3 linked regions of the Coturnix japonica genome follow. Each later gene encodes a partner of the first gene's protein in a complex. Links are inferred from orthologs where the notes say so. Each region holds a gene or a part of one and is shown on either strand. Other genes may lie near its edges.

Region 1 (2,697 bases):
TTTAATTACCTATATAGAAGACTGCCTTGGCTGTATCAGTCAAGGGATACAGGCTGAGGGAGCTGGGCTTGTTCAGCCTGGAGAAAAGAAGGGCTTGTTCAGCCTGGAGAAAAGAAGGCTGCAAAGAGACCTCAACTGCACACTTCCAGTGTTTAGAAGGGGATTATAAACAGGAGCGGAATCAACATTTTACAAGGGTAGAGAGTGATAAGACAAGGGGGAATGGTTTTAAGCTCAAGGAGGAAAGGTTTAGATTGGATGTCAGGAGGAATTTCTTTACAGAGAGACTGATGAGGTGCTAGCACAGGCTGCCCGGAGCTGTGGATTCCGCATCCCTGGAGGTGTTGAAGACCAGGTTGGATGGGGTCCTGGGCAGCCTGCTCCAGCACCACATGTGGAGGTTGGTGGCCCTGCCTGTGGCAGGGGTTTGGAACTTGATGACCATTGGGTCCCCTACAACCCAAGCCATTCTGTGATTCTATGATCCTTTCTTCAAGCAAACAGCTAAACTGGAGACAGTAGTCATGAAAAAGAAAATAAGGTACATGTATTCTAGAATGAATGAATTCAACTTATTTGAAAGTAAGGCTTTATGTTTCTCTGACTACTTCATTTATTACTTTCACAAATGAGATTCTTTAATCTGTACTGACTAACAGATTAAAACTTAAACACATTTTGTGTGATGAGTGCAGGCAAATGAAAAGAATCATGTACTTACAGTGAGGAAATGAGCCTCGGCAGACAGCTTTGTTGAGGACAGTTACAAGAAACATGTGGCAGTTTTTAAAGTCAGACTCCATTTTCTCTATGGATTCCATCCTACAAAGTAGAAGGGAGGTACACTTACCACTCAGTTGAGCAACTGTTACCTTCAAAATATAACCACAATTTCACAGCGAACGACCAGCACGTTCTCTGCATTGCATTCCATCTTGAATTTAAAAGATTCTAGTTATATCTGAGTATGCCACACTAGCTGTGGCAAATTTAGACTGGAGTGCCTGAGCACTGTATCAGAGTGGCATTACTAAGGATAGTCATCTCTTTGTAAGTGTCTGCAGTTACTAGGGGGAACTTTGTGGTTTCAGCTGATGAGTCTGAGGTCTTCACAGGAATTTCAAGACAGCCATTCCTTGTGCCAATTGCTTTGGAGATAAACTTACAGTGCCAAATAAAACGGAGACAGATAGCAAGTTAAACAGGCCCCAATCACCCATACTGCCTTCTTATTACAGAATCACAGAACAACACACAATTGTAGGGGCAGGAAAGGAACTCTAGAGGTCACCTAGACATTACATGAAAATCTTCACCCCAAAGTCAACTTTCATAGATTTCAACATGTCCACATTTTTGCCCTTGAAATTTTCACAAAGGTTTTATAATGTGGACAGTCTAAGTTACAGAAATAAGGTTATTTAGGTATTAGATTTAGATTTGGATGAATACCTCTTTTTGTTGCTACACTCTGCAATCTTTTCAAATACTCTAAAGATACCTAGGAACCATACTTGGCATTAGAAAACGCTGAATATGCACTCACACAAGCATATGTTATGTTCTATCTCAGATAATTTTCACTTTTGTTAAGAAACCGTGATTAGCTTCTGGCACCTACTGTTAAACATCCCAAAAGCACATTGTGAGCTGTGAAATCATGACTGTGTATTATTTTAGGTATGTACACTTACTTCCAAGCTCCCAAACCCGCTTGCCAACGGTCTGCAAACATCAGCACTACATTTAAAACTTTCATTATAGCCTCCTTCACAAAGCTCACCTAAAGTCACAAAAGGAATAGCAATAAGAAAAATAATTGTTAATGAATTGCATAATCATTTTCATTGTTAAGGATACAAAAGTATCCTACGCCATTTAATCTCATCTGTAAAAGTGGTCTCCAAGGTATTAGACAAGACTGCCCAGTTAAGATGTATCTTGTATTTGCCCTCATTCATTTCATGATGATTTCACTGAGGATTAGCACAGACAGTATATGAGATTGATGACTGCAACAATGTATGTCTTCATTTCCTACCACACTAGCACGTACAATCCTCACTACATTTCCAAGCCTGTTTGTTCAAATCCCAGCACCTCTGAAAGACAAATGTATGTAAACTCCAATGTAAATGATTTAATTTTCTCTTCTTTATAGAAACAAAACTGAGACTTATGAGGGAAACAACATCACCATTAATCCTGAACAAGTTACCGCTTCCTCAAAAGGATCTATTTATTACAATGTATGTATGACCTACAAAATAGTCACAGCATAGTTAGTACAAAACTATTATCATGCCCTACTGAACTCAATACATCAAATATTCCGTTTTTACCCACCTTTTCTCTTAGTAAGCAGCGATCATGGATTGTAGATAGGTATCTATAATGAATCTTTATTAATTGATCCAAATCTTTAGCTTCTTCTACCTGGTGCTGAAATTCCAAGCCGGTACTGTGAAGAATCTGAAAGAGAAAACCACAGCTAATTAAATCCTATGTTGCACAGAAATCCTTGTGACTCATTTCCAAGACTTTCTTTTTGAGAGCCAATAACTGCCTGATACATTCACTCTTCCCTTTCCAGTCTCAGCTGTGAGGCTCATCCTGCTAGCCACTAAAAAGTAAAAACTCTGAATTCATCTCATAACTCAGTGATGTTTTGTATACTTTGTACAAGTAGGAACATTA
Region 2 (3,500 bases), on another chromosome or scaffold:
ATAAGACATTTAACAGTACCTAAAACAAGGCATCTTCTCCCTACACCAAATGTGGTAACATACGATTTCTGTTCTAACTTCTCTCGAGCACACACACTCACCAATTTCAAGTTCTTCTCGAGAATGTGCCACGTTGGCTCCATCACTTCAAACATCATGTAATACTGGATATTCTGCACAAAATTCAGCATTCGCTGCCGCAGTGTGAAAGCACCAGCAAACCTAGGGGAGAAATCACACCCACACAACTTTGAGCTAGCAAATGCCACAGAGAACCAAGCCTGCAAAGCCGAGCAAAGCAGAGCTAACTATTTCTGTCCTAGCAAATCCTCTGTTGCAGTCTGAGAGTGATTACAAAGTTATTGCAGAGCATCTCTGATTTAGTTCCATGTATGGAAATGACTTTCCCTTCAACTACAAGATTCAGAGCGTGGCACCTGCTGTGCACTAGACACAGTAATCTGATGACATCCAAACATAAATGGACAGTATTAAAGCCATGTTATCACTTTAACTAGTGAGATGTGTTTGCTAGCAGTGTGCACTACAGATCCCCCCCAGGTCTCTTCCACTAATCCTTATACAGTGTCAAAAGACCAAGAGCCCATGCTGGCTGAGGTCAGTGTCAAGGTAGCTGAGGGTACCCTGTGAGAAGTGAGTGCTGTTGACAAGACAGAAGGTGTTTCCTTGCAGTGCCACAGGCCTGCCCTGTGCTTCATTGAGACCATCTGAGACTGAAGGTGGTGGGCATGGAACAGGCAGAGGTCACAACCCCAAGCTGCCAGCGCTCAATGAGTGTTCTCAGACATAAGGTTTGGATTTTGAGTAGTCCTGTGTGTGGAGCCAGGAGTTGGACTCAAAGATCCTCATGAGTCCCTTCCAATTCAGGACACCGTGTGTTCCTTACAATTCCTTTTCCAAACTTTGCGCCACCAAAGAGAAACAAGTCAAGCAGCCTGAAGATTATTCAGCAGACACTTCCTACTGCATCCTAAAATGTTCTGTCTGACCTCCCTCTGCCTGTCAGAAATTTGCAACGATATGTTCCATGTCAAAATAATCTGATTCATGCCACAATGCATCTAACTAGGGAGAAGGAAAAAAACAAAGCCTCAACAGAAAAAGAAGCCATACCATTTAGCTGAATGTAGGGAGAACTGCTTGGCTGTTTTATTGCTGATCCAAACATTGCACAACTGTCTTTCCACGTGTTTGCAATAGAACATGTGTCTGAAAAGCATCTGGTATCTTGTCAGTGCTTTCCTGGAAAGAAAGGGGATTCAGATTAAGTTCTCTTCTGATTGACAGAATAAGCCGTGAAGGCTGAAGCTACTTCAAGGGAGTCTTAACACAATATGCTCCATACACCTTCAGACACACACACACACCTTTGATGAAATAATTCTAACAGATGAATAAAAAACTAAAAGCATGTGTAATCATCCCAAAGGATTTCGTCCTTCACCAGGTACTTCATGAGCCTCTTTCTCTGATGCCCTCGATCAACCTGCAGAAAGATCACTTACATACAAGCTGGGACAGAGGTCTGAAAACCTACAGTTGTGTCTGTGCTGCACCAACGTTGCTATGACTGCCACAGTAATTCACCAGGATTTTCCAATAAGATAAACTGCAACCAAGCTATAGGCAGCACTGTCAGAAGCAGATGGGGATGCTTATTTATAGCCTCGGGGACTGGGTGCAGGTCTGTGCTCAGACACTTCAGCTGTAGGCGTCTACAGAGCTCCAGCCAATACAGTTTGTGAAACTGTACTTAGTATTTTCACTTCCATAGTTACCATCGAAGTTAATACACCCATTATGAACGAAAGAGACATAATTTCAGATACGTTGTGTCATTATGAAGGTTCCACTGTGTCAATTGATTATTTTACAGAAGTGAGGAGATACTGCTGGCATTTACCACCTAATGCTGCCTGACCCATTTGCCTGGCTCACAGTCTGCCAGTGCCCTGTTTCCGTGGAGAAGCAAGTCACTATAGAAAAACAAAGCATTCTGTTTATCCTAACTCAATTTAATGCAAAATGGCCCAGACGTTGCAGCATTTTGCTGTTTGGAAACGTAAACCTGTACAAAAGCTTCTGACCATTTTTGTTTGTTTTATGGTAGATGGATACCTTACCTGTTTATAATCAGGGACAGAGGCCACTTAACAATATAGTCAAAAGAAAATGCTTCCAGACCACTGAGAGTGAGCTCTGTGGGATCCGCACCTATAATGGCCTTTTCCTGTTTTGTTTCTATGGCCAATACTCTCAAGAGCTGCGTAATGAGGTCATGGGGCATCAAATCAATCTACAAAGAAAGAGCAGAAAAACAATGAAGCCACAGGGTACTCACAAGTACCAGGTAACAACAGTTGAGTGACAGAAGAGTTACAAATTGTCAGAGATAATCTCCAGTCATTACATCAACCTAGGGAGCAATGAGGAATAGCATCATCTGAACAGTGCTGCAGCAGACAGCAGAGCAGTGTTGCTGTGCAGTTTATAAAGTCATATCAACCTCCCCAAGCACAGCTTGTGTGCTGGTTCACATTTGTTAAGGCTTTCAACCGAGCTGCAACAATCATTAGTAGTCAGAACTTATAATCAAGGATTTTCTTGTACTCCAAAATGGGCATCCAAGATTGAGAATGTGGGTGAGAGATACATTACTGCTTTCACCTCATCCTGATGCCACTCTAAAGCACTTTCTCCGTGCTCAGACATCAACAAGAAAACGCAGCCCCTTGCTGCATTGCTTCCCATTGCTACTGTCAATGAAATAAAGAGACTTCACCCAGAGAAGGTCTACAGAAATACAGTCATCAATTCTTCTCTTTTTCACTGCATTTTCAGCAGTTTCTCATAGGCACAGAGACCTCCTCAATACACAGCAAGCCTTTTGCTCATGCACTTTTTTACCTTTAAATCATCCTTGAAAGGGTCTGTGTTGGCTGTGCTCATTCGCAAGGCCAACTCAAGCAGTGCTTCTAGCCTAGTAGTTATAATGTCATCTACAGGCTTCTTAAGTTCCTCTTCTGTGAGATCCATGAAATGAACAAAAAAGTCCCCTTGATCCATCAGGAAATAATGTTTTATAGATCTGCTCAAGAAAATGAAGATCATTGATTATTGTTTCCAAAAAAACCATGGTTTTTAACTTGCTTTTTTAACAGACAAAAATAACCTACTTGGAAACTATTTTTTAAATTTTTTTTATGTGTGCTGTCCCAGGAAAAGAGAGCTAACTTTAAAACCTGACATTTGCCATCAGAACCAACCTATCTAACACATATTTAACAAAACAAATCAAACCTTAGGTGAGCCACAAGCTCTTTCTCCTCCATTAGGAAATCCAGAAGCACTTTGCTAGCATAGTTGTATGCTTTTTCTATTTGTTCTACATACGCTCGCTCTTTTAACGTGTAGATGACCTCTTTAGCCACAGGGCAGGTAACATCACGTCCACATTCTCGCACAACGTTCAAGTATTT
Region 3 (3,500 bases), about 42 Mb from region 1:
TTTATAAAAATTCAACTTTATCCAAACTCTTTCTAGATAGGTACCACTTCCACTAGACTTGCCACCACAAGAAGTATTCCATGTCTGGAAAGTAACTTATTAAAACTACAGTCAAGCAGAGAAGCCCGTAGACCAGGTACCACTCAGACACCTGAGCATGGTGCTTAAACAATGCCCAGGCCTCACAGTGCTGAGCAAGGACACAGCAGCTGCAGCAAGGGGCTGACTCTACCCTGATTGCTAGCACATCGTCGTCTAGTACACAGTAGCTGGTAGTTTATAAGTTATCCCAGAACTGGTCTCTTTCAAGCTGTGCTACTGCAGCTGTTCCAGTGTAAGAAGAGGAAAAGACTGGGATCCAGAAGGCAACAGTTATCTTTTCCCTGCTAGTCTAAAGCTAAGATAATACAGTGCAGTACCAAACAACTGTTAGGTAAACTTTATTCTAGCCATTGCTTATCAGCAGATCTACCCCCATCAGTGAACATAAACACCTCTGTTCTATAGAAATGCTGGTAATATTTAATCACCCAGCCCTAGGGCTTTCTTAACACTCTAAGAAAATACAGACTACAAAGTAAAAGAGAACTCCTAGAAGCCAGGCCTGCTGTATTACCTTTCAGAACACAAAGCAATACAAAATGGTCTGCCTTCATAAATATTTGTTATGCATAATGGGAGCAGAGTTTTTCGAAGACTAGGCATGTTCTCCTGATCAAAGTATCCAAAACTTCCGTTTATGACAAAGATAAACAAGATTCCTGTTTCCAGACAGTCTATTTTTGCAGGCTAAAAAGGAGCAACATAGAATACCTATTCATTCTGAACTCAAACGGGAAAAAAAGAAATGAGGAATTCCTGATCTAGTAGTGTTATCGAATTAAATTAATAAGAAAACTAGTTAAGTGACACAGTCAAAAACTTACTCGAGCGGCTGAGGCTACTGAATCTGGGCCATGAGCTGCATTTTTTAGGCCATCATGTCCGAAGTTTGCTCTGATGCTTTCCGGTTCATCAGTTCGAGCAACTGCAGAATTTGCAGGCCCCAATAATGTCTTCCACTTACAAATTGCATCATCCCGTAAGATTTCCATAGCAACAACAGGACCACTTGTTATAAACTGGAGAAGCTCACTGCAAAATGGAAACAGCATATGGTGATCCAGGCTGTAAATTAAAGCCAACGAAAATATGCAATCCAGTAGAGATGTTCAAAACTCAACTCAGCAAAGCCTATGAACAACCTAACCTAACTTTGTAGGCTCTGCTCTGAGGACAACTTTTGTTCTCATTGATTTGAAATGATTTATAATTGTTTCTAAATTTGAGAAGAATCCTATATAGAAGATGTAGTGAATAACACTCTAGAAGGAAAGACCAAGCAGGCATGGACAAAAGCTTAAGGTCCCACAGATAACTACAAGTTGTGTAGACAGACATCTGTGAAATAACAGCACAGGCAAAACTCTTGCTTGCAAATCAACATATTCAAACATAATTATTCAGCAAAGAAAATGGAGTTCTAGATCTCCTGATCTCCATCATGGTCAGACATAGCCTGTACTTATGTCTCACTGAAGGGCTTGAGTTTGGACCCACAATAAATCAGTTGCTGTTGCAGAACAATAAATATATGCATCAAGTTAAAAAAACAATGTACCTACTTATAAAAAGGTCTTGATTGATGGTCTACGTAGAAATCAGCTGCTTCTTTTCTGGAAGAGTAAACAGACACAGCTTTATATATGCACAGGCATTTATATGTGCATATATATATACACGCACACTCGCACGTATATATAAACCCTGAGAACCACAAACTATCATTCATCAACATTTTTCTACACATAATGCCTTCCCAAGTTGGAAAATGTATGGGGCATTCATACCCAGTAAAAGAATTCATACCCATACACTGCTCCAGAAGTAATGCCTCCTATTTATTTCAACAGAAACTGCAATAGATACAAAGAGTACAATAACATTATTTGATAGTATTTGTACCTGAGAATCTTCTCTGCTTTTTAACAGTTACTTCCACTAGCTGTGCATTTTCACCAGTGATAAACCAGACCCTGCATGCCACTCCCATCCAAAACTGCACCAGTGGAAGTGACCCACTATTGTTGTCACCAGTGTTGAAATGTAACCACCTGCCATCTTACTTGGCCCACATCTGCTGTTTGGTTCCCAGAAACACTCAGTAAGCATCAGTGAATGTCTCTGGGTGCTATTTTTTCCTGCATGGAGGAATTCAATATGACACACCTTTGCTTCATCTGCATTCCCATGTCAGATGCCACTTTGTCAGACTGCCCCTCTTCTGCCATCTGCCACGTGGAAACAGCATGTGAGGGAATACTGCTGTGAAGGTTCAGCCTCCACCACCATCTCACACAATATCACAGGAGGCATTACTTTTGGAGCAGCACTCTTACATTTAACTTTGTCATACTGAGCATGGTCAGAGGTATAATCGACTCCTCTTCACAGTCCTGATCTGGGAAGGAAGTTATCACTGCAACCTGTAACTAAGATTTTCAAGGTCACTGATGGGCTCCACATTCTCAGGTTGGGAAACAAACAGCAGAAACAGCCACTTGACAAGCTGTTCACTGTTACATTGCTTTGATCTTGCAGTTCAGCTTGAGTGTGTATGTTGGGTAACGAAATCTGGTTTTAAAGCATAAATAAACAATTTATCTGCTTCATTGAAACTTATTTCCTTATTGGAGCTAGTGTTTGATGACAGTTAACAACAGCATATTGCATAATCTGGTTTCTACTCAGTATCCACAAATGTTACAATTCAAATAGGCAGCACAACCCCTCTAGATTAAAACATGCTTTCTCATACTCTTTTCCCTTTGATAACTGAGTATTGTCATGCACTTCCCTCAGGGAGAACTCCAGTTACTAGCATTGCCTTCTCTCATAGCAAGGGATTTCCATAATGAGGAGGGCTCTGTATCTTGTCAGGTAAACAAAGGCCAGCAAGCACACAAAGTATCCATACTGCAGCTGTTATTTAGTCACAGTACCTAAGTACAGAGACAGCACAGCTGATGCTGCAGGCTAAATGCCAGAATATTCATCATTAACACAGGATGATGGCCCTCTCCAAGCTTTACATCGCCACAGCCATGCTGCTAGTTAGTGCTCAGTTTCAGGGTCTGCAGTACAGGCCCACGTTCCATCCACCTGTGAAACATCACTTTGGCTTTTCACCTTCCCACTTCCTGTGCTAGACAGCCCACTCTCCTCCCTCCTTTTTCTCAAACCACACCTCGTGCAAACTCTTGCTGCCTTCACTGTTTTTTTCTACATGAAAACAGCTAGAAGAATCTATGAGAGTTTTCAAGTTTAGCTGTTATCTTCCAACTGCAACTTCAAAATTCCAGTTCAGAAGTGCAGGTTTGGTCTTGGCTTGCTCCAAATCCTTGTGCGTAGCATATTCTGATGCTGTAATTTGAGGAGAAGGATAAGCTCTTCAGATGGAC

The links. The genes of interacting proteins can lie anywhere in the genome.
Region 2: TUBGCP5 (region 1) and TUBGCP2 share a complex: the UniProt entries of both Homo sapiens proteins name them as parts of the gamma-tubulin ring complex. The link is inferred for Coturnix japonica from reciprocal best matches to the Homo sapiens genes TUBGCP5 and TUBGCP2.
Region 3: TUBGCP5 (region 1) and NME7 share a complex: the UniProt entries of both Homo sapiens proteins name them as parts of the gamma-tubulin ring complex. The link is inferred for Coturnix japonica from reciprocal best matches to the Homo sapiens genes TUBGCP5 and NME7.

The regions. Positions count from the first base shown.
Region 1 is NC_029516.1:117,471,990-117,474,686, reverse strand, and holds part of TUBGCP5 (gamma-tubulin complex component 5), read right to left. Parts: intron 2,473-2,697; coding exon 2,347-2,472; intron 1,784-2,346; coding exon 1,695-1,783; intron 823-1,694; coding exon 722-822; intron 1-721. UniProt on the Homo sapiens protein: Component of the gamma-tubulin ring complex (gTuRC) which mediates microtubule nucleation.
Region 2 is NC_029521.1:5,974,008-5,977,507, reverse strand, and holds part of TUBGCP2 (gamma-tubulin complex component 2), read right to left. Parts: coding exon 3,322-3,500; intron 3,110-3,321; coding exon 2,929-3,109; intron 2,318-2,928; coding exon 2,145-2,317; intron 1,264-2,144; coding exon 1,135-1,263; intron 223-1,134; coding exon 102-222; intron 1-101. UniProt on the Homo sapiens protein: Component of the gamma-tubulin ring complex (gTuRC) which mediates microtubule nucleation.
Region 3 is NC_029516.1:74,983,862-74,987,361, reverse strand, and holds part of NME7 (nucleoside diphosphate kinase 7), read right to left. Parts: intron 1,716-3,500; coding exon 1,665-1,715; intron 1,135-1,664; coding exon 927-1,134; intron 1-926. UniProt on the Homo sapiens protein: Possesses an intrinsic kinase activity. Displays 3'-5' exonuclease activity with a preference for single-stranded DNA. Does not seem to have nucleoside diphosphate kinase activity.